Linked DNA regions of Oryzias latipes. The protein of the gene in region 3 interacts with the protein of the main gene of each other region in a biochemical or structural test. Links are inferred from orthologs where the notes say so. Each region holds a gene or a part of one and is shown on either strand. Other genes may lie near its edges. The genes, in order: pparg, uba1, ubiquitin-conjugating enzyme E2 R1 and rnf7.

What was found.
Region 1: the proteins of ubiquitin-conjugating enzyme E2 R1 (region 3) and pparg form a complex in vitro, tested with the Homo sapiens proteins (2 studies listed by BioGRID). The link is inferred for Oryzias latipes from reciprocal best matches to the Homo sapiens genes CDC34 and PPARG.
Region 2: of the proteins of ubiquitin-conjugating enzyme E2 R1 (region 3) and uba1, one has a biochemical effect on the other in vitro, tested with the Homo sapiens proteins (7 studies listed by BioGRID, with this or other methods). The link is inferred for Oryzias latipes from reciprocal best matches to the Homo sapiens genes CDC34 and UBA1.
Region 4: the proteins of ubiquitin-conjugating enzyme E2 R1 (region 3) and rnf7 form a complex in vitro, tested with the Homo sapiens proteins (5 studies listed by BioGRID). The link is inferred for Oryzias latipes from reciprocal best matches to the Homo sapiens genes CDC34 and RNF7.

The regions. Positions count from the first base shown.
Region 1 is NC_019863.2:9,210,190-9,218,532, reverse strand, and holds part of pparg (peroxisome proliferator-activated receptor gamma), read left to right. Parts: intron 1-2,492; coding exon 2,493-2,692; intron 2,693-5,340; coding exon 5,341-5,446; intron 5,447-6,517; coding exon 6,518-6,717; intron 6,718-6,970; coding exon 6,971-7,214; intron 7,215-8,343. UniProt on the Homo sapiens protein: Nuclear receptor that binds peroxisome proliferators such as hypolipidemic drugs and fatty acids.
Region 2 is NC_019865.2:13,788,218-13,796,560, reverse strand, and holds the end of uba1 (ubiquitin-like modifier-activating enzyme 1), read right to left. Parts: intron 7,600-8,343; coding exon 7,404-7,599; intron 6,288-7,403; coding exon 6,213-6,287; intron 6,129-6,212; coding exon 5,939-6,128; intron 5,833-5,938; coding exon 5,747-5,832; intron 5,365-5,746; coding exon 5,272-5,364; intron 4,738-5,271; coding exon 4,546-4,737; intron 4,454-4,545; exon of another isoform or gene 4,333-4,453; intron 4,232-4,332; coding exon 4,130-4,231; intron 4,044-4,129; coding exon 3,943-4,043; intron 3,861-3,942; coding exon 3,725-3,860; 3' UTR 2,808-3,724; downstream 1-2,807. Other genes in the region: rho guanine nucleotide exchange factor 3, read right to left, coding at 199-295, 409-471, 786-944, 1,025-1,132, 1,217-1,273, 1,753-1,797, 1,878-1,926, 2,165-2,202. UniProt on the Homo sapiens protein: Catalyzes the first step in ubiquitin conjugation to mark cellular proteins for degradation through the ubiquitin-proteasome system.
Region 3 is NC_019875.2:22,335,156-22,342,326, forward strand, and holds the end of ubiquitin-conjugating enzyme E2 R1, read left to right. Parts: intron 1-836; coding exon 837-971; intron 972-2,127; coding exon 2,128-2,338; 3' UTR 2,339-3,877; downstream 3,878-7,171. Other genes in the region: sirt6 (NAD-dependent protein deacetylase sirtuin-6), read left to right, coding at 4,379-4,444, 4,947-5,074. UniProt on the Homo sapiens protein: E2 ubiquitin-conjugating enzyme that accepts ubiquitin from an E1 ubiquitin-activating protein, and catalyzes its covalent attachment to other proteins by an E3 ubiquitin-protein ligase complex. In vitro catalyzes 'Lys-48'-linked polyubiquitination.
Region 4 is NC_019871.2:22,562,906-22,571,083, forward strand, and holds rnf7 (RING-box protein 2), read right to left. Parts: upstream 3,919-8,178; 5' UTR 3,861-3,918; coding exon 3,698-3,860; intron 3,574-3,697; coding exon 3,526-3,573; intron 2,795-3,525; coding exon 2,676-2,794; 3' UTR 2,405-2,675; downstream 1-2,404. Other genes in the region: transmembrane protein 255B-like, read left to right, coding at 5,897-5,963. UniProt on the Homo sapiens protein: Catalytic component of multiple cullin-5-RING E3 ubiquitin-protein ligase complexes (ECS complexes), which mediate the ubiquitination and subsequent proteasomal degradation of target proteins.

The DNA.
Region 1 (8,343 bases), on a different chromosome or scaffold from region 3:
GCATCTTCCCAGTTCCTTTATCAAGAAAAGTTTGCAACTTGAATCTACAAACTGAATTTTCTTTAGAGTCAAAGCAGTGACAGACGTCTCCACTTCCCCCTCACATCGTTTTGATGGAATTGTATTCTAAAATGTTCCTCGTGCAGGTTATCAGCGATCTCAGGCTGCATGCAACTCAACTCATTTTTCCGTCGTGCTGTGTCACAGCTGCAGGCTCGTTGCCCAAAAAGTGGAGGGGCCAGTTTGGAGGTAGATTAATTTGTGTAAGGTGAAGCCGTGATTGCGTAATTAATATTACACAATCACTTACAGCGCAGTAAAGGCGGAATGGAGGTTTAAATGAGAGGGAGCGGTAATTGATGACTTCCACCCACGTGAAGTGGTTTGGCTCTGTCACACCTTAGCATGCGCTTTTCTTTTTGCCTTTTTCTCACCCGGGTCAACCAAGAATCAAGAACAGTTTGAACTTTAATGAAAGAGTCAAAGGGCCTAATTTATGGAAACACAGCTGTCACAAACACTTTTGGTTTCAAAAAATAGAAAACCTCTCAAGATCAAACAGACAAATCTTTTTTTTTATATACAATCATTGACTATGATTATGTTTTAACTAAAATCTATTCAATCCATCTATTTGGTATGTAGTTTCAGGAAAACCAAAGTCCATCTTCTATAAATGAATGGCAGTCTGACTGTCTTGTGTAGTTTTGGCCACTTGTGTCATATGCAAGACCTGTAAACAGAGAGCTTTCAATGAGCTGTGAAAGTATTGCTGCCAACATGTTGAAGAGGTGAATGAAATCTACTAGTGCGTCACGAGACACACCTAAAAAAAACGGCATTTTTCACGTGGTCCTGACAGTGGAAATATTCTGCAGGTGAATAGCTTTGGCAGTGAGGCTGGTTTGCAGAGGCTCGCAGGGTCTTTGCCTCATCCGTCTGCTCATTGACTGCAAGGTGCAGCCTCCAAACATGCAAGGATCAGACGCGTCTGCACGGCAACTCAACGCCTTTCTTTAATTTGGAATTCTGTACGAAACAGTGCACAGAAATTAAAGACACGTTTGAGCCAATGCAGTATATTTTTGATTTAGACCACGAACTAAACATTTCTTTGTTTTCCTAAAAAGTAGCGATTAGCGATCATTTTTTTGTTAAGGCCGTGTCACACAGCCATTATGTACATTTTGCGTACGTTTTTCAACGAAAGACATTTCAGTCTTTCGTGATACATGCATGATACATGTAATTCATGAGTGTTTCTTGCGTTCCTTGTTCGTCAATGTGCGCAGATGTCGATCGCAGCTCTTTTATGTAAATTCAGTTTGGAGCTGTTCAAAATTTTTTGCCGGTTGAGGATTGCTCAGTGTACGTTTATTTTATGTAGTTTATGTGCAATTATTACGTAAATCATACACAGTTGTGCGTAATTTTTGCTAGATGTATACGCAAATTTGTGGCTTTCCACAGCCGTTCAGCGAATGACTACGAGACAACCACTATGTTTTGACCACAAATTGTGTTTTTTTCATTTTGTAAAACTTTTGTTTAATTCCTGCTAATTTCATACAAACATTGGTTTTCAAGCATTTTGTATTAAAATATTTTCTTGATTAGGAATTAAATAATTCAATAATGGATTAAAAAATGATGCATGATTCTTCTTACCAAAACTAAATGAAAACAATTAAAATAGTTTCCTTGAGGCTTAAAGACCCACTGCAATTAAAAAAAAAAGGAATTTGGTGTTTTTAACATGTTCTTGTGGCATTATAGTAATAATGGAAGGCTAATATAGAGAAATTTACGCTAAAAATTGTATTTCTGACTATTTCTTTATTCAAATCGTTGTGAATCCGGAGCAGATGAAAAAACACCATTAGAAAATGGGCTTATTTGCTGTTTTCCTCGTCTGTGCTGGCATCTGGCTCAAAACTGTACAGCTGGATAGCTCCAGCATAGTACGCCATTTTTGTTGCATCGGTATGGTTAGGTTGTGAGTGGCTGTAAGCTAGTGGGAGAGCATGAAAAAAGATGGAAGAGGGGAAGGGGGCAGGCTTACTCTACGCCAACAACAGTCTTTTTAATGAACTCCTGCTGCTCTGCAGAAACTATGTCCTAGAAAACAACACAGTTTTTTAGTTTTAGTTTATAATACTGGAACAACTGGGAAAATTTTTACAATAGATCAAAAGATGATCAGACTATTTAAGGAAGGTGTTTATTGGAATAATCTGAAATAAATTGGAACTGAACTGGCACTTTATACATAAACCACTTGGTACTTTCTGAACTGGTTGCTTCCACAGGAGTGTTTCTTATTATCAGACTTTGCAACTATGTGCAGTGTAATGAAGCCGTGCACCTCATTGTAGTATTAAGATAACTCATGAAAGGAAGTAGGGAGTAAATAAAGTTTTGTCTTCTGTAAATTTGTCAAAAATCTGGTCTTTAAGAGATGTTTCTGTAAACATCTCTATTTCCTTTCCCAGCCATCCGTTTTGGCCGAATGCCCCAAGCAGAAAAGGAGAAGCTGCTGGCCGAGTTCTCATCTGACATGGAGCACATGCACCCAGAGGCAGCAGATCTGAGGGCTCTGGCTCGACATCTGTACGAGGCCTATCTGAAATACTTCCCCCTCACCAAGGCCAAGGCCAGGGCCATCCTTTCTGGGAAATCCGGAGACAACGTGGTAGGACGAAACACTTCAGTTTCACTTTTTGTCATCATGTAGCCAACAGTAAAAAAAAAAAAAAATTATAATTTAAGGCAAAGGATTTCAGAGTTTGTTAAATGATTCATAGGAAAAGAGAGCTTTAATATTGGACCTAACTTGATGTTGAGTCGTCAGTTAAAGTTGTAACACCTCCTATCTGCACATTTCTCTACGTGTTCTGTTTATTTTGTATCTTTAGCCCCATGTGAGCAGTCAGACCTGTTGTGCTTTCCTGTCAGGTTTTTTTACTTCTATTATTGGGCAAAAAAGTTCTCTACTGAAAAATCAGATAAAGAGCTTTAAAGTCCCATTCCAAAGAACATTGTGTTTTTGAGTTATTTTTAACATGTTCTTGTAGCATTTTTCCCATGATGGAGGACAAATATGAAGATCATTAAGAGGAAAACTGCATTTCTAAGTAAATCAGGAGCAGACCAAAAAAAAAACAAAAAGCTGTTTGAAAAAGCTTGTAGCTGTTGCGTATAAAAACTACAGTCAGCAGGCAAAGCTTCCTGCTCCGCTCCATTTTGATGCATCCATTTATAGGCAACTAGATCCATGTACCTCTTTGTTTTCCTTGTCTGAGCTGACATCTGGCTCATAACTGTTTGGCTGGATAGCTCTAAAATGCTAATGTTAGCTGGGGGGGGGGGGGGGGGGGGGGGGGGGGGCTGTAAGCTAGCAGGAGAATTTGTAGACAAAGGGATTGTGGGAAATGAGTGCAGGCTTGCGTTGCACCAAAACACCTAAGAGGTGAATTTCTTATGAACTCCTGCCGCTCTGCAGAAACCGTGTCCTAGAAAACAACACCAAATTTAAAAAACGACACAATCCTAAGTAAAAACACTTTTACAATAGATGATTGAAGTGGAGCTTTAAATGTTCCCCTCAGTATGGAAGCAAATAAAGGGGTCACTGCTGTTTGGTCTTTTTTTTGTTTGTTTGTTTGTTTAAAATTTATAAAAATTATACATTAATATGATTGCTTTGCAGCAAAATTTTAGTGATTGGTTTCATTTTTGGTTATTGGATTTTTTTTAAACGGTTCCTTAGCTTTTCGAAGATTTTGACTAATTTGTTAGACTTTTATCATAATCAGTCAAAAATAAAATATACATCACTAAATATTACCATTAAATGTTTGCACTATAGTTTATTTGGCCTTCAGAGAGTCATTCTTCACATTTCTAGAATACATATTTCAAAAATAGAAATTTTGTAGCAGATTTATGTGGAAGTATTTAAATTCAGCAACGTGGCGCAAGTTTTTTAACTTTTATTACTTTTTGAGAATTGTATTTTCTCACTTCTGCTTTGAAGGATAATTAATCATTTGGATAGTTTTAAGTCAAAATCCTGCAGATAAAAAGTATGCTGCAAAATAAAAAAAATCTAGGGATAACATCTTAGACAATTGTTTAATGTCATTGTGCCATCATCAGCTTGTATTTTTGTAGACTTTCTAGAATTGACTGACACCGACATGAACTGATTCTTATATGATGTATTTTAAAAGAAAGAAAATATTTTAAAAGAAAAGAAAAAGTAGATTATTTGTTCATTATATGGCATTTTTAGTTCAATTTAAAACATCTTCATTAAACTTTTGGACATTTTTGTAATAAAAACTAATAATGGTAAAGTCTTGTCATCATAGTTTTATTATTGAATGATAGAAGCACCTTCTGTGCTCAAGGCTGCTGCGCATTACTTTGGTCTGCTTGTTATGACTGTTCAGACAGCGGTGGCAGACAGTTGACGCCGAATCATCTCTTTGTTTGAGCCACTCCTGAGTTATTTACTAAACCACAGCAGACCTCCTAAAACAAAACTAGGAGTCAATCATTTTAGCTTTCGTTGAATATTTACATTTCCGAACATGCGAGGCCTTGATATGAGTTGAAGTTTAATCAGTCTGTAACTCCTGCAGTTCTCCACAAAAACTGACTGAAAAGGGAGATGACTACAGCTCATTAAATACTATAGATATTTTTGCCATCAACTGTTGTAGGAAGATCATAAAAGGCCACAGTAAACAACATTATTGCACTTAAAATTTTTATTTCTCAAAGAAAAAGATCAAAGTTGTAAAGAGTGTCTTGTAAATCAGTTTTATGTTCTTCTTTTAATCAAAATATTGCAGATCACAATCATACATAAAGAGACTTTCTTCACAGGCTGTCGACATGGATGAGCCCACAAAGTTTCACAGGCAGAGCACAATTTCATGAAAATGAAAGAATTGTTTATTTCACACACCGGGTCGAAATACCGGCTGTAAACTGCAGTTGGGCTTTCCCTTATTAATTTTCTTTTTGAAGAATTGAGACTTAATGAATCTTTCAGGCCGGAGCACGTCTTTTTCGGTTTTTCATTTTAGCCTGAGCTAAATCGGTTAAGCTTAATTTACAAAGAAGTGATGTTTTCATTTGCCTCAGCAGCAGAGGCTTTTTTACGGTTTTCCCATTGCACACATTTGTAATGTGAGCTCCTGTAAGCCTGATTAATGAGCCAAGACTATTATTTCTGTGACTCACGGGTCCTCAAAAGACCTCGTTCACGCCAATTCATATTTCTTTTTACTTTTCTCACCATGGTCTCTCAAATTTGTGGTCTTTTTGCAGCCTTTTGTCATCCATGACATTAAGTCTCTTATGGAAGGAGAGCAGTTAATCAACAATGGGCAGACATCTTTTCAGGAGCAGCAGATTGCCACAGCTGGACATGGAGGTTGGTAGATACTTTGAAGATATTTGTTTTAAGTTTACAAATGAAGGCATGTGGCGTATACTTATATAGCGCTTTTGTACCTACAAGGCCCAAAGCGCTTTACAGTTACAGACCCAGTCACACACACATTCACACACTGGTGGCGACTCTGCTGCCGAACACTGGCGCCAACCTCCCACTAGAGGCAAGGTAGGGTTCAGTGTCTTGCCCAAGGACACTTTGACACAAGGCGGGAATCGAACATGCAATAATACGATCATGAGTTGACCGCCCTACCGCTGCACCACGGCCGCCCATGTGGTTTATCTTACTATCTTTCTTGATAGTCTGTGCAAATTTGATTAATCTACCCAAGATTTATAATCCTAAAACAAGCTATAAAATCTTATTGATCTTAATTTTAGATATTTACACAAATAAACAAAAAGATGTCTAAGACTGATTGTTTTAAGAAAATATGTTTCCTTTCTTATTTAGTTTTTAAATCTAAAAATGAGTCCTTTAACATGCAAAAGAAGGAAAAAGAATTGCAGGCAAGATTTTAAGGACAAAGAAAATGTCCTACTTTGAGAATATTTACATTGCCACTGTTTGTAATTTCTTGGAATATGTATTTTACAAACATCTTATCTGATTCCAAAAGACATTTTCAATTAGCATAAAATTAAATAAAATATGTGGTTATTCTTGTATTTAAAATATTTTGCCGCATTTTATTTATATTTGTGATTTTGTTGTTTCCCAGCATGCCATGAAAGTTGTCAATGTGCTGCCTCAAGCTTTTGATCTGCTGATGTAATTAAGCAAATTTGGGTTTTCTTTATCTCATAATTAAAATGAATGATTTTGCTTTTGAATTTTTTTTTGCTGTAAAACACCATAAATAGTAGTTTTTGTGTGGTTAGTTAAAACTTAGAGGGAGATCAACGCTCAATACACTTCTTAACAGCTAAGAGATCTAATATGGGACCCCCTTGTATTTAATTTTTGAGAAGACTTGGATAAGGATACATAGTTACTATACACATATTTTTGATCCCGCATTTTTTGTCCATTTTTTTCTGGTTCCAGTTTCTGGAATCGCTGGAGCCCTCTCAAGTCCAGATTGTAATGTTTTCGGGATGGCCAGCAACATTGGATCAGAACCACCGGATGGCGTGGAGCTTCGTTTCTTCTACAGCTGCCAGTCACGCTCAGCAGAAGCAGTGAGGGAAGTGACAGAGTTCGCCAAAAGCATCCCGGGATTTGTTAACCTGGACCTCAACGATCAAGTGAGACAGTCGCTCTTAATTACTAGCTCTGACTTTGCTTGAATGTCGAAGGATTGCTTTCATGTCAGAAGTAAAATCTGTTTATTAAGTATTACTTTTACGTGCTGGACAAAGTGAAAATCTAAAGAAGTAAACTTTAAATTGTGCTTACATAGAAAAAAAGTGAATAACTATAAAACTACTCGTACTTCCCAATCTAGGATAAATAATCTTGTTTGGTTGGATGAGAATTTGTTCTATGTCATTTTTCTAGGTAACTTTACTGAAATATGGAGTAATTGAAGTCCTGATCCTGATGATGTCTCCTCTGATGAACAAAGATGGCACCCTGATCTCTTATGGACAGATTTTCATGACGCGGGAGTTCCTCAAAAGTCTCAGGAAACCTTTTTGTCAAATGTTGGAACCAAAGTTTGACTTTTCCGTGAAGTTTAACACTCTGGAGCTGGACGACAGCGACATGGCGCTCTTTCTGGCTGTTATTATCCTCAGTGGGGGTGAGTATGTTCTCCGTAGGACATTTCATATAAGTAGCTTTCTGCTTGCACCTTCTTTGGTGTGGGCAGGGAGCTGTTGACTTCGACGGAGGTGGAAGGAATACTTTGAGGATCTCCTGAACCCTGTTAGGTTTGGTAACTTTGGGATGGGGCTGTCCGTCACCCAAGCTAAAGTCACTGAGGGAGTTGAACAGCTCCATGACTGAAGAGCTTCCTAAGTTCCTCAAGTGCTGTAGATGCTGTAGGACTGTCTTTACTGACAGCTCTCTGCAGCTTTGAGTGGCCAATAGGGACAGTACCTCTGGACTGGCAGATAGGGAGGGTTCCCAGTGCATGGAGGACTCCGGCAAGGCTGTCCTCTATCACCGGTTCTGTTCATTATTGTTACGGATAGAATTTCTAGGCGCAGCCGGGAACCAGGGGGGGTCTGGTTTGGGGATCACAGGACTTCCTCTCTGCTATTTGCAGGTGATCCAAGACCTCCATCATGCATCGGGGTGGTTTACAGCAGAGTATGAAGCAGCTTGGATGAGGGTCAGCACAAGTCTGCCAAGTCTGAGGGCATGGTTTTCATAAAGGGAAAGGTAGTTGTCCCTCTCCTGGTGGGTGAGGTGCTCCCACCTCAGGTGGAGGAGTTTGAGGCTCAATCCGAGTTCTTCCCCTACCCGTCTGGTTTCTCCCCACCCATACATTTAGCTCTCCAAACGGGGAGTTATGGAAAAATGGTGTCACTTCTACAACTCGATGACGTCATCAATAGTCACAGATGGGCTATGTTAGCTGCCAGTGCTCAGAAAATACACAACAACATCAGTTTTATAACTTTATAACTTCCTCGGCAGGGTGGCTGGGTGCCCCCTTAGAGATAGGGTGAAAAGCTCAGTCATCCAGCGCTCGGAGCAGAGCCTCTGCTTCTCCACATCGAGAAGAGCCAGCTGAGGTGGCTCAGGCATCTGTTGTGGATGCCTCCTGGGCGCCTCCCTGGGCATGTGCCACTGGGTGAAGATCCCTGGGAGGACCCAGAATATGATTAAGAGACTACATCTCTTGTCCCCTTGGAGGTGCTGGAGGAAGTGACAGTGGATGGATGGATGGATGGATGGATGGATGGATGGATGGATGGATGGAT
Region 2 (8,343 bases), on a different chromosome or scaffold from region 3:
CTCAATGACCTGTACCTACTTACCTACTTCATGAGACAAAAAGGCCCAAAAACCTAAAATAAATAGCCCTCAAGTATTTTTAAAAGATTGGAGAAGAGGATTTGCCTCAGATGGGATCGAGATGGGTGCAAATATGCTAATAATGAGAGAAATGTTACTTGGAAGATACCAATTGAGAGAATTTAACAGAGAATTTACCTGTATGGAGGGGAATGAGGGATTCCAGAGTCCCAAAGATCTGTCCAAGCTCACTCTCAGACATGATGTCCAACTTCAGCATGGGATCATAGTACACCTGACACCAAGGTCATATACAGATGAATATGTGTGAGGGAAAGTTTAAAGACTGCAACGTGCAAGTGTTTCCATGTTTAGCAACACAGGTGCAGCAATATGATGTACAAGTACCTTTTTCACTAAACTGAGGTCCTCTATAAGCTGCCTTTCTCCCTGAGTCAGCTCATAAATCACCTGCAGAGAAGTAAACCGTTCCATGACTGCAAACAGCCACTCAGACAAGTCAAAACACGTATGGAGTTGCATAAGAGGTTAATGGTGTACACAGCCAGCATCAGCTTTTCACAGCTGATGGTTTGGCAAAGGAAGTAGAGCCTCTAGTGCCAGCTCACATCCTCTTTCACAATACCCCACTGCGAAGCAGCTTCAGAGAAATGAAGAGAAGGTGCAGGGCACATCATACTCTGTTTTTAAGCACATATTCCACAGCGGTTTCAGAAATTCTTCTGGTTTCTGCAGCTGAACTAGAAAACGACCGTGCCTCACACCTCTTGGCGTTTGATTTCCTTGGCTGTGAGGTCGTGGCTCTCCACTGTGTCGCTCCAGCACTGGCTGTTGCGCCGACGTGGAAACGAAGAGGGTTTCTGGCGAGAACGGGGGAGAGCCGGGGGCAGAGGTCGAGCATCTGTACGAAAGCTAATAGATCGCTGTGAAAAGAAAAGATGGTGTTGACTGTCTGAACGGAAATGTAAGTGGTAAAAGCATGGGTGTATCTGAGCATCCTTACTGAAATAGACTGACTTAAGCGTTTCAGAGCCGGCGTCTTCATTTGGGGTAGGACGCCCGTGAGGCTGTTTGATTTCCCCACAGGTTTGACTCGTTTATTACTGGGCTCCTGAAAACCACATGAACTGAGCTTAAGCAGCTCAAAAAAAACATAAACAACATAAATATAAAATCTCCAAGAGCTGCAACTGACCTCTGAATCTTTCATGTGGTCAGGTGACATTTCCTCCTCCTCTTCTTCCTCTTCATCCTATTGGAAGTCATAATTGGGACTGAGTTAGAAAAAAAATGGAGTGGAAAAAGTTGAGGAAAACAGAGAGAAGGCAATGTTGAGAGGGTTAAAATGTTGCATGGTGCAGCCTTCTCATTTCCTGTGTGAGTCTTTCGAAGAGGAAGAAGGTTCAAAGCGTGCCTCTGTAGTTAAACAATAAAAATGACTGCCTTTTAACCTCCACATTTGCAGTGCAGCAGTGGTGAAATGCAGTTGGTCAAATAGGGATTTTTAAGGAAAGCAAATATGACGCAAGACAATAAAGTGGACAGACCACAAAAGCTCAAAGTGGGTTTTATATTTAAAAAAAAAAAAAAAAGTTCTGCTGAACACAATGCGCATTTCTTTGTCAGTTCAGCAGTCAGCATTGTGGTCACAAAGGTAAAGTTGACTAACTTCCGCCTCTTACTGAGAAACAGAGACGATTATGATAGGAAGCTGCTCGGCTTATTTCTCACCTCAATGATTCTTATCACAGCTTCGGGATCTTGTTTTCTCTTTTTCTGAAAGAAAAAAATATGATCAGCTTTTTCCCCCCCTTTTAATTTATAACTCAAATGAATGAATAAAGGCAGATTCTTACCCCAGCATGATCACAAACAAATGTGTGACTGTCGCCTGACATGTCAGACCTAAAAAGGAAAAAAGGTTCCCAAAGAAAAATAAAATTATTCAATCAAAAAGATTTAAAATAATCTAAAAGATCTCATTTCACCCTAAATTAGTTTGTGATTATACAACAAGAAACTGGTTCACTGATGATGCAGCAAGTATAGACTAAAAAAATAAATAAAATTACCCAAAAAACTCAAGTCACCCTGTTTTATCAATTAACAGATGGAACACAGAAGGAAAAAAAGTTGATCGTACCAGGAAGTCCTCGATTCATCAGTCGCCTCCACTTCCATGTTAGTTTCTTCAAAGCATCTTCACAATATCACTGGACATTTTGAACACGAGTGGCAATAATCCAGATTTGAGGTAGTTTCTGTGCAGGCCCGAACGCAACCTGTTTGCATTCGGGGTGTTAAAAGCTCAACACACTCCTTCCTCTTCACTTTCTTCCTCATCTTACAGCTTACCACATCCTTTAGGGGTTGCACAGAACTCGCATATCCGCTCTTCTCAGGGAGGAGTGCTCAAGCTTCACGCTAAGCTCATCACCGAAATCTCATTTCTCCTCCAAATGTTCACAAAAATTTGTTGTGGAAAAATTGTAAATTGCTGAAGTGAAATAATATTTGACGTAGAGTGTCATATTAGACTGTGGTTACCAACTGATCTAGTTTTAGAAAACTTAAATATCACATAACCTACAGACATTTTTTCCACAGTAAATAGTCAACCAGTCTTTTAGCTGGTGAAGCTTATTTCCTGCATGTGATGCTCCACTTCACTGCTGAGCAGCATAAACCAGACTAGACTCAATAACCAAAGCAGACAACACACATAATTAAAATCAACGTCACACATTTTTACTGAATCAACTGAAAAGAAAAGACAGACACACAGGCGAGTTTTTCCATGTTTATTCACTATAACACTAAGTGCTCCCATTCAAGATACATCTCAACGCTTCGCTCTTAGATTTAATTAATTTTGGAGTTAACAAAGTAGAAAGACAGTTTGATGATCTACCAACTGTGTGCCAAAACTCCTTCCAAACACCCCCCCCTCCCAGAAAATAAAATAAAATGGAACAAAACACATGACATGGAGAGCATCAAGAGAAAACTATTGTGGTGTGCAGCAGCCTGAAGAAAGCCAGAGTGCTGAAACGAGGCTTTGAGGGTGCTTCAAAGTGAAGGAAGGGAAGGAAATTCATCAGTTTGATGCTGTAATTCCATTTCCAGTTGAGGAACAAAAAATAAAGGGAGAATTGGGTTTTTACGTTGTTGAATAGCCTTGATTTAAAAAAAAAAAATCATGTATTAAAAAGTAACAGTATGAGGGGACAGATCTATTAGAAATGGGCTCCAGAAGAGAGGAGAGCAAGCAGGGTGTGTTTGAAAGCTCTGCTTCAGAATGATAGTTAGGTGTTATTGTACATACAGACTAGTTGGGCTTTGCAATGAGGGCACCGAGGCTTTTGAAGTTTAAAGGTTCTACTACAGAAAAACATTAGGATGTCCAATTTACATGCTCCCTCCCTCTCTCCAACAAATCTCCTCTTCCCACAGTCAAGCACAGAGTGGAACTGTAACACACAGACAGGTATCCTTCTGTCAGCTTACTGGGGCTATGTACAGTCAGGCACAGGTTTAAACAAACCACGGGCCTAAAAAAGGAAACCAATTGATCCAATAGAGCCGATCTGGATCAATCCACCCACCCTTTGTCACACCACTATTTCCCCACTAAGAACACCCCCATTCCTTGCATCCCCCCCTAGCAACTACCACCCTCCTGTGGGTGGTCTCCGGGTGAGGCTCAGCGAATGGTGTATCTGACGTAGGGCACTTCCACATCTTCATCTGAAGTATCGTTACAGCAGAGCTCGAACACCAGAGCTTTAACGTGCTTGCCCAGCTTCTTTTTGGACACCTTGGTCACAATCTCAGTCATCCTGCAGAAATCAGAACAGGAAAAACTCAGTTTGTGGAAGGAAAACGTAAAGAGGCTGGACTCTCGCGTATGCAGTTACTTACGGTAGGTCAAGCCTCTCTTTAAGCTTGGCAGCGGGCATGAAAAATGAATAGAGCATGGACACTCCCTGAGAAAGCATGGTGATCTCCAGCTGATGCTCGTTCTGCCAAACAGGGGAGAAAAAACAAAGTTACTCATTGCAAAAACAAAAAAAGTTGGAGAAGAAGCACCTAAATTTGCTGAACATACTTTAAAGTAATCCAGAAACTGGCGGAGTGTCATCTCTTCACCGTTGGCCTGCATTCCTGTTACTTCAAAGCGATCCCACAGACTCCATTCAGTTTCATAGTACTGGAAATAAATGAAAAATAAAGTTACAGCTACTGTAGGTAAAAAAAATAGACATCACACAGAGCTGCAACAATGCTATAAGCGCATATTTGGTAAACACGTCTCCTCAGCACACACTGATCACACCAGTGTGAGAAGGTGAGTTGAACTCACTTGCATCCAGTCAGAGTTAATGCAGCTGACTGATGCATCAGTATTAGCATGGCTGAATCATCACAGGAGCCAGAAGCAGACTAAAACTTTATCACTGTGTCACAATCGTCACACGTTTTATAATCTTTACAAACTTGTGGGATAAAACAGCAACACCTCACCTTATGTTTTGGAGCAGCAATGGGCTCAGAGTAGGCAAAGAAAGGCAGGGCTAAGTTCATGAAACCATTCTTGTACGTCTCAAGCTTCTTGTGTCCTTGCACGACCTTGATGAGCTCCAGGCAGACCAGGCCAACAACTGCAGCGGTGGTGGTGGCAATGGCAGGAATGATCTTGCCGGCAATCAGTTTGCTCTGGAAAGAACAGTAAACCAAAAGAGAAATTCACAATCGATCAGCTAATGAACGGAGGTTAAACAATGAATGAAAAACACTCACTTTGGTTTGCTTAACATTTCTAATTTATAAAAAACATACAGACCAAGTTTGAGGACGTTTTATATGTCACAATCACTCCTTCCAAGGTTAATTGGTTACTCTAAATTGTCTCTCACATAAGTGTGAATGTGAGAGTGCATGGGTGTGATTGGGGCCCTGCGACAGACTGGCGACCTGTCCAGAATGTCCCCAGCCTTCACCCGCAAGTGGCGGGATAGGCTCTGGCATCGCCGTGACCACAAAAGGGAATAAACAAATTAGAAGATGACCGAATGACTCCTCCCTTCACCAGTCCAGAAAAATTCAGACAGATACATTATTGAAAGAGAAAGAACAGGGGAAAAAAACTTAAAGTATTTCTGCCCAGAGGTTTTGCTATGCGAGAATCAAAAAAACAAAAAGACGCCCTTGTTAGTTGGCCAAATGAGGTCATGTGAATGTTTAGCCCACCTTGTGTCTGTCTGCAGGCGGAATGTCATAGTTCTCTGCTCTAAGGTTGGATGCGGCCACAATAAAGTCCATGTGGAAGTTGGTGTCATCATCCTGGAGGGGCAGAAATAAAACCATTTTTAAAACATTTCTTCTCGGGTGATCCATGTTCTTCCTACACTACAAAATAAATGAGGCTGTAGCAAGTAAAAGGGGGTAATTTAGTGATAAATAGAATGACATTTTCTAAATACAAACACACAACGGGGTTCATTTGCATAGAGAATCACGTTATTACGACATACAAACTAATAATGACATTCACGTTTCATTCATCTAGTAAATCGATTTTTACTTCTACGTTCCTGTATTATTTTGATGACAACAAAAAAATATACAGAATTACTTTTTACATTTTTTTTTAGAAATGACAAACATTTGTAACATGACGATCAAAGAAAGACTGATTATGTCTGACGTGAAAGAAATTGAGTACCTTTTCAAACTCGATGGGGTTTAATTTGAACTGGAAAGACTCTGGTGACGGCAATTTGGTTTTTAGTTCTTCCAGTTTAGAGTCATCTGCATTAAAGAGATCCATGTCACAATAGGCCTTCAGCAAAGACAATTATACACAAACATTTCTGAAAGATTTTCAATGCTGTCTTGTGCATAAATACGGTCTTACCAACAGAAGAGTTGCTCGATTGCAGCTCCTGGTCTGAGACGTGAATTTTAACCCCAGAACGGGGGGTAAAAGTGGGCACCTTGACCTCTTGCAAAATCTTGACCAGTCCTGCACGGTCGGTGCTACCTGGCAGACCATACATCTGCGCAAACAGGTTAGCAGCTGCCAAAACATAATCCATGTGCAAGTCCTGGAGACAAAGGCTAAATGTTAATAATTTGAATCTTTTTTTGAGGAGGAATACTTTTGAAGACGGTGAAAAGCGCATATTTACATTGCTAGTGCTGAATTCTAGGGGATGAGGACACCTCTTTGGGCCAGACCAGAAAGGTGCACCTGAGCTGGTGAGCTGCAAGACAAATATCTTCTTTAGACATATGGGACTCAAGATACATCTGAAAAAGTTTAGGAGCTCAATGTTTAGATTGGGTGCAACTTCATGAAGTAAAATGTAAACAGAAAAACAAGAAAATATAAAAAGAAGTCCCTGTAAAAGCATTTCCAGATATTTTTTCAGTCCGATTATGCGGTTTTTAGACAAAAATCAAGAAAACGGTTGTTTTCTAGGGCAGTTTCTGCAGAGCGGCAGGAGTTCAGTAGAAATTCACCTCTAAGCTGCGGACAGGGCTGTTGACGCGGAGTGAGCCTGACTCATTTCCCATCAACCCTTTGTTTACACCCTCTCCTGCTAGCTTACAACCTCTCACAACCCCAACCTAACATTACCAGTGCAACAAAATGGGGGCGCTTTATTAAGTCAGACTTTATTTATCCTCATTGAAATGTATTCACAACTCAAGTCCTTTCATTGATGACATATGTAATTCTGCCACAGAATGGTTAAAGATCTAGGGTCCAGATTGTTGTTTGCCTTTTATTTTAATTTATGCTGAAAGTTGTTTTTAATATTTTTTTATATATGTATAAATTTTTGTTTTCTTTTGTTCTTTGTTTTTGTGAAAAGCAGTGCCTTGCATCATTGTGTGGTTGTGTCTCCAAGAGTTTTGTAATGGTTATATTTTAATTAAAAAAAATAAAAAAATGTGGGCGCTTTTTAGAGCTATCCAGCCATACAGTTTTGCGCCAGACGCCAGCTGAGGAAAATGAGGACATTTGTCTGCATCAGAATGGGAGGGAACTTGTGGCCTGCCGACTGTATTTTGTATGGAACAACTGCGAGCTTTTTCAAATAGCAATTGTTAATCTGCTCATGATTCACTACAATTTAAATAAGGAAAAACTCAGGAATGCAGTTTTAAGCTTAATTTTCTTCATATACGTCCTTCACCATGACAAACATGCTACAAGAACACGTTAAACAACAACACAATTTTCATTTGGATGGCTGTGGTTTAAATAGGACATGAAAATATCAAGACAAAAAAAACCTCATAGTGTAGAAATGTTCTTCCATTTCCTACCATCTGTGAATAAAATTAAAAGTGCCCACAACAGGGGCGTTTACCTGATCAGGGGGGAAGTTGTGCAATAGCTGACGGATGTTGTTGCTGTACTGGCACTGCCAGTGGTTGCGCGCCCAAGCTACGCAGTCAGCCCAGCTGTGTGGACAGTCTGTGACAACGCACTTGTAAACTGCATCCAGTACTTCCAGTGGCTGAGCCCCAGGAAGCTTCAGTGTACGCTCCATGAACTTAGGATCTCTGCAGGAATCAGAAAAAACAAATACATGAAGTATTGAATTCCATAAAACATTCTTAAACTAAATAATGCTTTGCTCCCCCCCCCATTCTTTATAGTTTAATACATCAGAGTTTTTATGGACCTCATGACACTGTGGTAGATTAAATTTGAGTTCCAGTTAAAGAAATCTCTCTGCTGAATTGAAGTTAAGTTCTAGAGAACCAACTGTATTCTAACTTTGACCCTAACGTCATCAAACCACTGAGATACCATCATGTTTCACATTTATGTACACAAATATGGTCTGAAATGTAGTTCATGGTCAACTGCAAGCAGGGACAGAAGCAAAATCTCCTTAGCTGTGGTTGTGGTGTGCTTACACATGGTGTTTTCTCGTACAGTGCGGGCATGTTTTAGTTTGGGCTACGGGTATCGTTCTCAAGGTCTTGCAGAGTGAAATTAATGTATACAAGTTAAAGCTCCATAACCATGACGTTCTTTTTCTTGTAAACACTAACATTTTTGATAGGAAGGAATGTTTTCTTTGCCATGTATGATGTACATTTTAGTCTGCAGAAGGACTGAGTTTAGCTTTTAGTGGTTGTTTTATCATTCTTACATTCCCCTTCAGTGTTTTAGCACAAAAACAAATGCCATTTGGCAACTGGGCAAAACCTCTGGGACACCACAGCTTTAAAAACATTATACTTGCAGATGGACCAATAGGTTCAAGGGAGGAAGAGTGTCTAGCTTTCACAAAAGAC
Region 3 (7,171 bases):
AAATTTCTGTCTGTTTGTATCTCATACATTGCATGGAAGACACAGAGGATGTTTAGAGATCAGATTGATTTATTTTAGAGAGCTCAACAAAAGCATCGGTAACCACGTTCAGGAGGTCATTCAGAGACTCTCCCAGCATAGTGAGTCTCACTCCCGCTGACATTAAGCCCTTTCCGCCGCTACTTCCGTGTCTCTGTGACCCACATTAGTTCGAGCGGGAAAAAATAAAAACAAGAATCAATCCAGGGGATCTATTTATTATGAAATCATAAGATTTATGAGGCCCGAGCTGACTGCCTCCTCATTCCGCAGCCAGCCAGCCGCCCAGGGGCCGCTCAGCGTAGCGATCCCGTCGCTATGATCAATGGAAGCATCAGTGATGCAGTGGCAACATATCTTTCATTTATATTATTGCTTTAAACAGGTTATTTTATTTACAGTAAATATGTAACCGGAAACATTCATCTTCTTCTTAACCATTTTGTCCTTTTCGGGGTCCCGGGCCTCTGGGGTCATCCTGGACAGGTCTCCAGTCTGTTGCAGGGAAACATTAAAGTTTATTTCCAGTTGAAAGTAAAAGGTCGCAATTATTTTTGAGGGAACAAATTACTATTTCATAAGAAGGAATTTGTATATTTTCTGTCACTCATGTCATGTCACGGGCTCCGTACTAATTCCCGTAGTGTTTATGAGCTAGAATGTTTACTTTTAAAGCTCAAGGCCTTTATGATGATTTAAAGAGTCACTCTGAATATGTATTGTCAATTTCTTCTCAGTGGTTTTTTAATTATGATTCAGATTTTTTTTTTTAATTCTCTTTTGTTGTTTGTTCCCAGGACTATTCTGCTGAGCGTGATCTCGCTGCTGAATGAACCCAACACCTTTTCCCCCGCCAACGTGGACGCCTCTGTCATGTACCGCAAATGGAGAGACAGCAAAGGAAAAGACAGGGAATATGTAGAAATCATCAGGTATGTAGAAATGCAACAAAACGCAGGAAAGAAAACTGTTCAATGGCTGTGTGATTCGCTCAACAGCCTGCAGATAAACAACAGTCTGTATTGCCGGCTTTTTTTGGTTCTTTGGTCACTGCTCAAGTGGAAAGAAGTGAATTTCTTAATTCAATTTTAGGGACAGTACTGATTCAAGGTTTGAGAATATTTACTTGTCTTTTACGTTTTTGTTGCAAACAATGTAGTTTGATGTTTTGCTTTAATGTAAAGAATAAATTAAAACAAAGAAATGGAAATTGTGGTTTCAATTAGATAACTAGAAATGAATTTTAAACATTTATTTTTATCAAAGTTACCATCTTTTTAACTCCTATTTTTTTTTTTTTAGCTTTTTACACTATTTTTTTCTCCCTCAAAATAACTTCATAGAGTTTAAATTCTGGGACTGTACTGGTCACTCCCAATTTTTTTATTTTGACCATGTTCTATTTTTCTGTTTTTAGTTCTGGTAAAGATTTGGCTTCTGTTGAGGACCCTTATCCTGCTGCAAGATCAAATTCTGATTAACTGCTAAAAATAATATATATATAGTGCGGGCCTTTCTAGTGCCCTGAATTTTAAAAACAATTCGGACACCATGCTCACTACTTTCTTTTTTTTAAACGGCAAATATGACGTAATCGATTTCACAAAGTGAAAATCTAATTGATATGAGCGTTTTGCATCAACCATTTAAGAATCCACTGTCTACTGAAGATAAAAATATTGATAATTTATTTGAAAAAATTCAATTAAATACGTTTTTTGGGGCAAAAATTGGATTCGCTATTGAAAAGTAAATGTTAACGCATGAATTTGTCGGTACAGTTTTGATGTTACAGTTGACACAAAAGAACACGATCATATTGCATCAACACCTTTTAATTTAAGTAAATTTCCTGTAGGCATTAAAATACCATCATTGTGGAATCAATGAAGTTCTGTTCTAAAAGGGACCAGCTGAGGTGAGGTTTAGACATCCGGCACAAATGCCATCTGGATGTCTTCTTGTGTCACGCATCCTTGAGTAAGATATGGATCATCAAAAGGAAATCTAGTCCTTCACTGTGTTTCCTAGCTTTCTGTGCGTTTGCCGCGTCCTCACAAATGAAAAATAATCTGTTGTCTCTTCCAGGAAACAGGTGATGGCCACCAAAGCTGAAGCTGAGCGCGATGGTGTGAAAGTTCCCACCACGCTGGCGGAGTACTGCGTCCGCACACGTGCGCCAGCCCCCGACGAGGGCTCGGACCTCTTCTACGACGATTACTATGATGACGACACCATGGAGGGCGGGGATGGCGACTGCTGCTACGACGAGGACGATTCAGGAAACGAGGAGTTGTGACATGCTTTTTGACTGAACGCCCAGTCCGGCTATGCTCCTCCTTTTTCCCTTCCGGGGTAGCGAGATGTTCTAGGTTTAACACCAAGGAAGACTGGAATCTTCCCTTCTCTAAACGGATAAGAGCTTTTTTTCTCGTGCCTCTGTTTTTTTCCCCGTCTCAGAGGTTAAAACAAAAGACTCTGTAAAAATGTGGGACCTGGTAAGATTTGCACCAGCACATACGTTAGCAGTTTCTTCAGTTTGGCCACCTCAGACTTTACCATGAAGGATAGTTAAATGCTCACCAAATCTTTTTCACTCACTGTAGGCTTTAATGGGGTGGAAACTCTCTTAAACATTAGTCAGCCTCTTTTGCATATTTGTTTTTCCTAAATTGTAAGTGAATTTTGATCTCCGTGATGGAAAACGAAGGACTTCAGGCTTGTACTAGGAAAAGCACTGCAGAGATCCAGTATTTTTCACCTTTTACAGCATCCCATTACATGCACCAAGACACAATAAACTTGCCACGTGACAGTATTTTCTAAGTTTCTGTGCATGCCAGAACATCTTTGCAAGCTTTTAGTCTCTTGTAACGGCGGACAGTTTTCCCACCGCATCATGATTTGTCCTAGCAAAAAAACCGCTGCGGCGTTGAAGTGACTCTGTGGCGAAGAAGCAGATGGGCACGTCAGCGGGGTCCATACCACGTGGACATTTTTGATCTTGTGGTTTTTTTCTGGTTTAGTGTTGAATGTGTTTCTCTGTCACTCTGGGTGTGTCTTTTTTTTTTTTTTTTTAAACAACCTCGAATTAAGGGGAGATTGAAAAGTGTTTGAGTTGGTGGGGGATTTGAAATGTTTTTGAGCTCTCGAAGTGTGGGGCCGTTTTTGAAAAAGCAACAATTGTTTTGTTAACTAATCATACTTGGAGTAAAGGTTTGAATCGTAGTCAAAATACTTGATTGCTATTTTAAAGACATCCAGTTGTAAACACAGTATCACTCCGAAACACCTGATGGACCCAAAGAGCTAAAGCAGCATTATAAAGACTCCAAAACCTATGAAAAATGATGTAGTTCTGTTGGTTTGGTTGAAATTCATTATAATTTATTTTTCTTTTAAATTCCTTCATAGTTTACCTGAATGGTGTCACCTGTGAGATTATTAGGTAAAATCATGCACGTAGTCTGATTCTAGATTCTTGACGTTTTTCTGCGCCGCAAATGAAAATGTTAAGAAATAATGATCCTCTTTATTTTAATTTTCTTCTCTGTTTTGTTGGGTGATTCTGGACGGGTGTTGGTGTTTTTCTGAGAGTATGGATGGTGTTTTTTGATTTAGTTTTTTTCCAATCTGCAGTATTGATAACTTTAATGTCTGAAGTAAGTTTAGTAAATAAATTAAATTTCTCAGGATAAAAATTCATTTGAAACAACTGTTGAGGCAAGCAATTAATTTCCAATATGCAGATGTAGCTGTATGAATGATTAAAGTGTTTTATTCACATGTCTCTTTTTTCCCCCCCAGCTATTTAAAATAAAGATTTATTTCAAAGAAACATTCATTGAAGTGCTTGGAATGACTGCACATAACGGAAATCCAATTTTTTGTTGTGCTTTGTTATTTTAAGGAAGTCATTTAAAGTGTTCCAGCTGAAGACAACAGCATTTAGTTTGCTCATGCTATTTAACTTTTGATAATACCTTAAAATTCAATTATAAAGAGTAACTTGAACATGTGTGTTCAAGAGGTTGGAGGGAAATAGGAATTTTGAACTACCAAACATGTCAGTCTTTATCTTTTATTTATTACTTTTTTATTATTTATGTAGATGTAAGAATGCAAAACTCAAACTTATTCATATTCTAAAATAAACTATTTTAAGTCTGTGTCTGTATGGTGTGAATCGTATCAATGATGTTCCCTATGGTTTCTGAATGCATCACATGCCGGCGCACATTGATGTCGTCATCCAAACGCCGCAGTTCAAACCTAAAACTCGGGTTTGGGACTGTTTTTCAAACAGAAAATAACAACAAAGACAACAGTTACCAGAGTCATGTCAGTAAATTATGCTGCCGGATTGTCACCTTACGCAGATAAGGGGGTCTGCGGCCTTCCTGAGGTAAATTTTGACTACATTAAAGAGCTTTTCATGCTAAATGAGCTAGCAGCTCATCATGAGCGATGTTTTTGTCCTGCTGTTGTGATCCTTCTGCTCTTTTATCTAACAAAACACTTGCTAAGGACCAGCCCCTTGTTTGAAAATCTCTCTTTACATTTTTTTTATTCGTTCTAGTGAGTTTAAATTCCAGCTCTGGTTTAACAAGATAATAAATTATATTGTTTCAAATATAGTTATTCTTGTTGGGATGTTGTATCATATATATCCACAAAATTTGATGGGTGCAAAGTTGTTGTTTTCCTTCATAATAGATTTAAAGCAGCCTTTTACTAATCTGTACTAACGTTCAGCTATGGCTTTGTCCGCCGAACGTGTCACATAAATAGATAAAAGCGTGAAGCTATTCATGAATTCATATCTCGGGACCAACAATCTTAGCAACACATGCATGGATGATTGCTTGTGCTCATTCCTAAAAGGACTTGTTTGTGTCTTCTGGCAGAAGTTTGACAGTCCTGAAGAGCTGAAGGAGAAGGTGCAGACTCTTGCTGAGTTGGTTAAAGAATCTCAGTACCTGGTCGTCCACACTGGAGCTGGCATCAGCACCTCAGCCGGCATCCCTGACTTCAGGTGAGACACGATTCTAATGATAATTCTGTTTTTGTACGCCACATTTGGCTGCTAATGCCAACATCAGACAAAGGCAAACATAGGATATGTATTTTATATGACAGGAAGCGCATCTGTTAATCAGAATAATATTGATTCTTTTGCACACAAACAAATCTATCTAAATATCTATATTTTTCTTTGGGAGCATGTCCAACTATTTTACTTGTTTGATCCTAAAATTCCCTAAAAAGTTACATAAACTACATTAAAAAAAAAACTCTAAACATTCATTAAATGAGCCTATTAAAATCATAGTTAAAACATTTTTTAAACTAATTTCTCCACCGAATCGTACATGATGTGTACATAAAAAAAGGTTGATGTTATCCACACACGATTATGTGACAAGCACAAAAAGTTATGGAAATTTATGTTGGCCACACGTAATGCTTGCAGCCAAGATACATAATGGTGCCTTTTAACCCTTGTGCTATCCTAGGCACTTTGACATTGGGAGTTGGGTCATCTAGAGTCTAGACCCACTAGACAGTGCGCTGAACCTTTTTTTCTTCAATGATTTGTGGTCTTCTCCGGTGTCCATGGATTACATGAAATCTTTCCACTTTTATTCACCTTTGTCACGGTAGGGATAACATGTCAATGGTCATCTTGACCCCGTAGGATAGCACAAGGGTTAAGTGCGTCCAAGGTTGCATTTTGTTGTTGGCCCCAGGTGTTTAAAATGAAACTTAAAGTTACAGTCCCATTATCTGTCATGCACCTAGGTGTGTAAAATATGTTCTCTGCCTTTGATCCATCTCCTGGAGGAGCGGTGAGGTGCAAAAACAGCCGCGCTCAGGAGCTATTTGGTGGTTTAACCCAACCCACAACTGTAATCCTAACCTTAACCCCTGTTCTAGGTCTGTGTGGCCAAGAAAAAAAGCCCAGGGCTGGCCGCACTTATTTCGAAAATGACGTGCAAATAGACCCTTTCCAAAATATACACATATAACTGAAGACAGGCTGGAATAGATCAATATTCATGATTAATCTTAACAGACAAACTAGAATGTTAGTAAATAAAAAAACATAAATGAAATTAACATGACACCATTTTTTATTTCCATTTTAGATGACAACAACAACAGCTATGACCATAGTTCCACTGTAACTATTTGATTCGTATCCTAATTTGTGGTTGCTGATTTGATTCATAGTTGATATAGGTTCATTTTAAATAGTCCGATTCACTGACCTAAAATCGATCTTAAGCCAAAAATTCAACCAGTGAGACTCAGAGATAAATACCTGGTACTGAACAGTGCAGGTGAAGTTTTCCAGATTCCTTGTATTTCTTGCAAGATAATCAAGTGTAAATTAAATATGTGTGCAAACAAAGTTCAGCCCACTGTTGTTTATCTACATCAAAATAATACAAACAGAACATTACTAGAACATTCTACTGTATAGTCACATGACATGGCAAAACTCAAAGTGTTTCCATGCATTGAACTGGAATGATGCACTGATCGGTTTTTGCTGCCATCACATGTGTGTTGTCCATGGTGATTACACTTGATCACTTTTTACGGTATAGTAAAATAAACTCACATTTGCCTCAATCCAAATGGTATTTTCCAATATCAAACTAATTGATTTATTTCATTTAATTTATTTCATTCTTAAATCTAATATTAGGATAAGTAGCAATATTAAAAACATGAACAAAAAAGATACTTTTGTTATTGAAATAGGATGTTTGTCTTTGGGAACCCCTGTCCTAAAAGGTCCAACACACACGACTCAACTCATCAGCTCTAAAAACAAATGGTAATGACTCTTATTTCATTTATTCAGGCATGATAAACAAGTGGAATAAAAAGGAAAACTCAATGCATTTTTAGGGCTCAACGTGGGAAGAAACTTTAATCAACTAACTTTGCTCTTTTGTTAACTATTGTAAGACACTTAAAACAATGCAAATATTAAAATAGTCAGAGTTTTTTTTTTCTATTACTGGTACTCTTGTTATTTTTGTTGTTGTAGAAGTTGTAATGAGGAACTAAATTGTTCTGGGAGGCAAGCCAATGCATTTGTGGGCCATCCCAAGACCGA
Region 4 (8,178 bases), on a different chromosome or scaffold from region 3:
ACTTGATCAAACCTACACACTTAGAAGCTCAGAAGCTGAGGGAGTTTTGTCTAGTTAAAACTAAACGTTTCTTTTCTTAACCCTTGTGCTATCTTAGATGACCCCACCCTCACATTGATGTGTTCTCCCTACCATGACAAAGGTGGATGAAAGTGGAAAGATTTCATGTAATCCATGGACACCAGTGAAGATCACAAATCATTGAAGAAAAAAGGTTCAGCGCACTGTCTAGTGCAGGGGTGGGCAAGTCCAGGCCTCGAGGGCCGGTGTGTCTGCATGATTTCCAGATACTCTTCCCCTACTCATGGCTGATTACCTGGTTCAGGTGTGTCCAGCCAATCAGAACATGCCAGAGCAGGGTATGCTGGAAAACATGCAGGACTGCGGCCCTCAGTGCCCACCTCTGGTCTAGTGGGTCTAGATGACCCCACTCCCAATGTTAAAGTGTCTAGGATAGCACAAGGGTTACTCCAGGTTTTGGTGAAAGGTGGCTACAGAAGAGCATAAATGGATGGATTTGCTTGGTGGATTTGCCTGAAACAGCTTTATGGCATAAAAGCTCACATGTCAAACAAGGACAATCAGTCCAGCCATCATTAGCCTCATGACTAAGTCAATTACGCCGGTAATTCTTCCTCTCTCAATTCTCCAAGTTTGTGCGTTTTGTGTGCACAAGCAAAGGCAGAAAACACAATGAACTCATCTAAAACTAAAAATACACAAAGAACAAAATGAACCCACTTCTAAGATTTTCCTGGTTTTGTTGGGTTAATGTCGTGCTGCTTAGTGGTGTAAGAACACCAGCTTAAGCTCTATGTGATCCAGCGCTCACAGCACAGAGTGCAGCCTCTTCCCAATCAAATTACTCTCATTAGTGAGTTTATCTGCGCATTAACATTAAAGAACCACTGATGAAAATGGTGGTTTTGGTGTTTTTAACATCTTATTTTGGCCTTTTTTCTGATGATAGAGGACATATATAAAGAAAATCAAGCTTAAAATTGCATTTCTGAGTTTTTCTTTATTCAAATAGTTGTGAATCAGGAGCAGACCAAAAATGCAGTTTAAAAAAAAGCTTTTTGAGACATGCACAAGCTCCCTGCTCTTCTCCATTCTGATACACCCACTTACAACCATGTGAAGCCATGGCGCAATTTCAATACGGGAGAGCTATCTCATCTTCTGGTACACCAAGTTCTTCATACTACATGCCACTCATCAGTTAGTCTTCAGTCTTAGCCAATAGCTAAAATGCTCACTTTCTTCACAGCCAATCACAATCAAATTCCTGCCTTTGAATTCATGGAAGTTAGTTTATCTGCATTCTAGACACTTCACCGGCCCACCTCCGCCCTGTTCTCCTCCTGGCTCTTTGATTCGGAGCGGTCTGGGGCTTAACCCTTGTGCTATCTTATATGACCCAACCCTTACTTACGTGTTATTCCTACCATGATAAAGGTGGATAAAGGTGGAAAGATTTCATGTAATCCATGGACACCAGTGAGGTTCACAAATCATTGAAGAAAAAAGGTTCAGAGCACTGTCTAGTGGGTCTATATGACCCAACTCTCAATGTTAAAGTGCCTAGGATAGCCCAAAGGTTAATCACCATCAGCGTCCAGGCTCTGGGGTCTCTTCTCACACGGTCCGAGGTCATCCCAAGTATGCAAGAAGTCTCCCGCCCAGAACCTAACCGCCAAAGACTACAGACCATTTCATGCACAAATTCCTGTTTCACTAGTAAATCTCAGAACTAAAATCTTTTTGTTTAACCTCATAAAGGCTACAACATCAAGGAACTGACAGAAATTTTGTTTTTTACATGTATAAAAATACAGCCAAATCATGTTGTAATGATATAGATATAATCAATTACGGTATGTCGGGTGTTTTGGTAAGTTTTATCTCACAACAATGTAATTTTAAGATGCAAAAAAATTGACATTAGTTCTTAGGGAAAAAAAAATTAGTGTTTAGGGGAAAATAAAATCACCTTATTTATCCACTCTCACATTTGACCCATGGGTAAATGTGACCACATTGGGTCAATGTGTTATAAAAAGTTAATTATCAAAGACTTGTGTGTTTTTTCAGTAGTCATTTAGAAAAGTGTAAAACAATAGATGAGTTATTCTCAGCATAAAATTTAGAAAATTAGCTAAACGTTTCCCGTCAAGTGTTTTTGAGATTTCATGGAAACAGCCATTTTGAAATCAGCAGGAAAAGTCATTCTACTGCCCCTAGTGGAATGATGATGAATTACAGGACAGAAAACATGGACCAATGGTTTTTAAAGAAAGTTTGGATCATGTTAATAATATTGGGGTCTCAGGAAGGCATGTATAAAATATGATGCAAATGGTTATATAGGATTAATGGAAACTATTCAAATGAAAACAGACCTGCAGCTTTCACAATTCTTTTATTTCTAAAATAAAAACCACTTCTTGTGCCAAACATCGCAACATACATCAAAGTTAATCTTAAATGTCAAACACTGTAAATTGTCATCCATCCCTCCATGAGGCTTCTAAAGGGGTAGAGCAGCTGATCTGTACGCGTTTTTGTTCCCCGCCCTCCTTTTACGCTGTGACTACAGGAAACATGCGATGGCGAGCAGGAAGACGGCACAGGAGAAGGCCGGGACGGCTCTGAAGAAAACACGGGCTCAGTCCTCATTTGCCGATTCTCTGCACCACCCAGTCTTGTTGGCAGAGGGGGCAACGGTTGTTCTGCTTCACCCAGAGGGACATGCAGCAGTTGTGGAAGGAGTGGTTGCACTCCCCCCAAACAACTGGAAGATGGAGGCAGACAAACAGGTTAAAAACTGAATGACAAACATGTTCAAAGACAATATATTGTATGAAACATGTACGTTTTCATTAGTACTCTTATTTTCACAAACACAGCAGGACTTCTGTGACAGATTATAGAGAAATCTTCACATGAAGAAGGGAAGAACATTAAAGTTCGTTTGATTGTGTCTCAAACTATTAAAGACCACCTCCAATGAAAATCACGTTTTTGGCGTTCTTATCATGTTCTTGTGATTTTTTTTGTTTTTTGATGATGGAGGACATGTATAACGAACGATTGCTTTATTCAAATTATTAAAAAACATGAACTTGAACATAAAAGTGGCAATTCATCTCTTTATTACAGGCTATTTGGTAAATTTAAAAAAATCACAAAACAGTTTTTTTGTTTTCAGTGTTTATTTTGTTGCCAATGTAAGAAAACTACAAAAACATTAAGAAAGCTGTCTATGGTTGGATGTTTTTAATGTATTACAATGTGTTTTGTAGTGTATGTGCCAAACTCTGGCATTCTCACTGTTATTGTTCTATGTTCTTTTGTTGTATTTTACATAAAATAATAATAATAACTTTTTTCTTTCAATATCGTGAAAGCTGCGCGCCTGAGCTTTTATTGTGGTGGGACGCAGGGTTGATGATAACGCTCTTTAGCATATCCGGTTAACCGATTGTGCTGTTGATGCAACTTTTAGAGCTCGGGGCGTCTTACCGACACAGTCTTCCTGTTTGTTCTCCGCCTGACATCGGAGGCACGCGTCTGTAAAAGTGTCAGAAATAAAGTTAAAGCACCAAGCAGCCTACATCCACCAAACACGTCCGTGTTAGCTAAGCTAGCACGGGTTAGCCGGGTATGCGTCCCAAGCTAGCTGTCAAACACTTACCCATTACTTGTACCCGACAAATCGCACACGTGTCGCATTCCACGTCCCAGCTCCACATGGCCACAGCGTTCCATTTCTTCAGGGAAAACATCTTGTCACTCCCCGTCTTGGATCCCGAAGAGGTGTGAGAAAGCACCAAACCCGGCTCGTCCCCGTCGTCCATCTCTGCAGCTCCCACGTTAGCTTAGCTAAACAAGCTGGATGCTTGTTCTCACAGCGACGGCAGAGGGCGCTGTTTCTCTATTTTTAGTAAAAAGAAGAAACCATCTTGAAGTTTGCACCTGTTTTATAGTGTATGCAATTTTTTTAAAATATGCTTCAAGACAATTTATTGTATTTTAGGAAATTATATAAAAACATCTAACATGCTTTATATTTCAATAAAAAATGTAATGTCTTAATTTTAAAAACTAATTTTGTCTTGAAACTGTAATCTGTAGCATATAAACTACTCATTATTAAGGAATGCTCCACTGAAGATATGGACAAAGAAAAATCTAAAATGTAATCAGTCAGGAAAGGTTTCATTAGCTATTTTATTAAATGACATTTTAACACACCAGCTTATGTAAAAAATATACATCATTTGTTATGTAAACATGCTTCATATAAAGATGAACATCTAATTTGTATGTTTATATAAAAAACAAGCCATTAATATAATTAACTACAGTGTAGTATTATAATTTAGGAAAAAACACAATATAAAGTTTTCTCTTTAATGCTGCTGTCTAACAACACCTTAATATTTATTACCTATTTAACATAAATTATAGTATACAAGACAATAAAAAAATAAAAATAAATGCTACCTCATTTCATCAGATGTATTTAAACACAACCAAACAAATTTCCAGCTATACACAGAAATTCTTTTATACAGATATCAAATTTACTATCATAAAATACTTTTTTTTTCTAGAATGACATCAATGCTTTGCTTTTGTCATTTTTGTTAAAGGAGTCCATTTCTCAGGATGGACGGTCAACAGTAAGTTCAGAGGAGCGTTGCTTCCTTCAAAGCCTTCCATTTCGAAGCTGCTTTGTCCTTAAACGTGTTTCTGTTTAGAGATCCACAAAGGAAACTGTCAGTCTTCATCAGATGAAACAGAAACAGGCACAGAACATCATGGCGACGCCTCTGGAGTCTGAAACGAACTCTGATTCTTTAGGACAAGCTTCTGAAAGTTTAATTTGGCTGGCGGCTCCTATCTTTTCACAGCAGCTGGATCCTCAAGTGTGTTGTGAGTTCACAGACCATCTGTTGCATCACAAAGCAGCACTCTTAACTGGAAAAGTGTCTTAATGAAAGAGGAGCCAAAGTGTTTGCTGAGAAATCGTTTAGGTCAGGAAGTCCAAACAGAACATCAGCATCCACAGAGAGAGACAATGTTTTCATGAGTAATATGCAGTGTTTTATCCTTTGGACAAATATGTGTTCAGTTTTTTTGGAATAAATGACTCACTTTTACCCGTAAATCAATTTTGTTTCCCACATTCTTAAGGGTTCCTTTTAATTTTTCTGTCAGACTTTAGTCTGAGTTAACTTTGTTGCGATTCTTTTGCCATGTCTACATTTTGCATCTCTTGATGAGTCTCGTCGAGAAACAGGAAAGAGAATCCACCTCAGGATCAAATCATTTAAAGTCCCACTCATCTTTTGATCTTTTTTCAAATCATTCCCAGTGACGCTTTTTAAAGCAAAAAAACGTGTCGTTTTCCAGAACATAGTACAGTTTTGAGCTAGATATCAGCTCAGACTAGGAAAACAAAGACATACATGGATCTAGTCATCTACAAGTGGATGCAACAGACTGGAGTGGACCAGGGAGCTACATCATAAATACAATCTTCTTTAAAAATGACATTTAAAAGGGCTTTAAATGTCATCTGGTTAAGAGTCCAACTGCTTTTCCCGATTGTCCGTTTTGCACTTTAGTGCCACAGAAACATAACTGCCCAATTTTTTGTGTCCCTCTGTAGAAAAAAGAAAAGAAAAGAGGGAAGTCTGGTGTTTCCATCATTCCTTGAATGCAGCAGAGGCAGGATCACTTAACGCTGCCCTGCAACACTCAGTGGTTGTAGTCAGCACTCACACAGATTCCCAGCATTGAACCCTCATCAGAGCTGTGGTTCAGGAGACGGACGCTGCCTGAGGGAGAGGTGTGGCTCGTCTTCATTTCATCCACTGCTTCTGTCATGACTGCAAGGATTCAAGCAGCGGCTGGAAAGTTACAAACTTCTGTGTTTCTCAGCAAAACAACAGGTAAGCTGTCAGCTGAAAGAGGCTTCTGAAAGAAAGATTTACCCAGAAGGCATTTCTATTTCATCCATTCATGACGATGAAGGCTCAGCTGAAAATTGTGAGAATTCGTTCAGTAATATTTATGACACAATGACTTAATTTTAAACATTTGCTCAAACAATACTTTAATATTTTTAGGACTTTTTAACAACAAGAATGCACATTTGCAAAGAATGAGTGGTAATATCTTTGACAAGATCTGAGTTAAGTAAGGAAATGTGTTTAAATTGATTTTTTTTAAATTGCTTTTCAGCAAAAATAAGAATTTGCATGTGATGCAAACATAAACGCTAACAAAAATATTCTCAGTAACATGGCATTTCAGATGCACATTTTCTGCAAATATTTCATGCAAAATTCAAAAGTAATATTGTTGTGTTGAGGTGAGAACTGCAGGTGATCACTAACCAGAGTCACGCATGAATCCAATAATGAACTGAAATAGCTTTTGTGGAGTCGATTACATGTTTTCACATTCTGGTGTAACAAAGTTATGCAGCAAAAAAGGCTGGAAGAAAACCAACCCCTGAGGAATGTAAAACTTAAAATGTCAATATGAAGGTTGCAAACCTCTTTCTTCCTTTTTTATTAAACTAATTCACACTTTAGCTGCATATCTGGATTACCATTTTTTCCACCAGTCTGAAAAATCCTTCTTCAATTGAAAAGTCTGGAGCAGAAAGGACCAAATTGAAAAAAATACGAAAACAACAATACTCTTATTGAAAAATCACTACAAAAGAAACAAAATTACCTGTCCATGCAGAAAGTCATCTTTAATTAACATTACATACTATAATAAAAGATCAACATCTAAAAAGAAGAAGTATTCCATTTTGAAGAAGCCTTCAAAAATGGAAAAACAGCTGTTTGATAGAATTACTTCAAATTGGCTATACAGCCCAAATAGAAGTATTGTTTTGTGAGTTATAAGCAGATGGTTTGTATTCTTTAAGATTTTATTGACTTAATTGTTGTTTATTTTTAATAACAGTGACAATAAACTAGTGTAATAAGTGGAAATGACTCTTTTTTAAACAAAATTTGAATATCATCTTAAAGCAAGTTGGCCCTTTTAAAATCTAAAACAAGCGTTTACTCTTATGACACAAATCTGTTTTTTTCTTTCCAAAGTAATGATAACAAATGCATTTTTACCATTATTGAACTTGAAAATAACACCTTTAAAATTGAACCAAAAATTCCAGTACGATTTTATTTATTTTTTTGTCCTAAATCATGTTTTTCTATTGTTAGGAGTATGAAGCAAAAATTTGATTTTGACTCATTTTAATAATAATTTCTAAATTCCAACTCTTAATGACACAAAACATTCTCCAGCGTGCTAATTTTGAGAAAAGCTTGGAAAAGTTTAGAGCAAAGAGAAGTTAAAACAACTAAAAACCTAGTAAAATGGATGTTTAAAAACAAGGTTTGAAATAGTTTGCAGTGCATTTGTCAGACTGTCTTTTATGCACTTGAGAAAAGGGGGGAATCAACAACCTGTGTTTATTTTCACACTGAGCTACGTGGAGTTAACTGTCCACAATGACAAATAAATGTCTTGCACTATGAAACTTAAACTCAGGTTACGTGTTTAAACATAATATCCTTGATGTGAAACTCCAGCTGTCAGATCTAGAACCGGCAGAGTCCGGTTAGGAGGACTGACTGGATCCAGAGTTGTACCCTGTAAATTCTATACACTGAAAGTAACACCATCCCCCTTATCCCATAGGGTCTCCATGGGTAATAACAGCATCCAGAATGATGGAATTTGGGAATATCTAACAGTGTTTCCTCTGTGGAACATCCTTGTAAGCAATTGAACATTTTAAATGTGTAAATCCTGAGCCTTGCTGCTCAGAAACTCTCATTTGTAAACCAAATGTTGGTGACAAATATGTTTTATCATATCACAATCAGTTATCTAGTCTGAACATACTTACAAAACAGAACAGAAGTGCAATCAGATGAAAAGAAATTGAAAATGAAAACCATTAAAAGTTGGAGGCTGTCAGGTTTTTCACCGAACAGAGAAGCAGGTGAGGAGACCAAGTCTGAGAGGGGACGCTTCATCCAAAGATTCAAAGATTCTGTTTGATGAGCTGCATTCTGTCAAGGGTCATTGTTTTTGGAAATAGTGGTCTGTGAACGCAGCTCATTAACGTTTTAT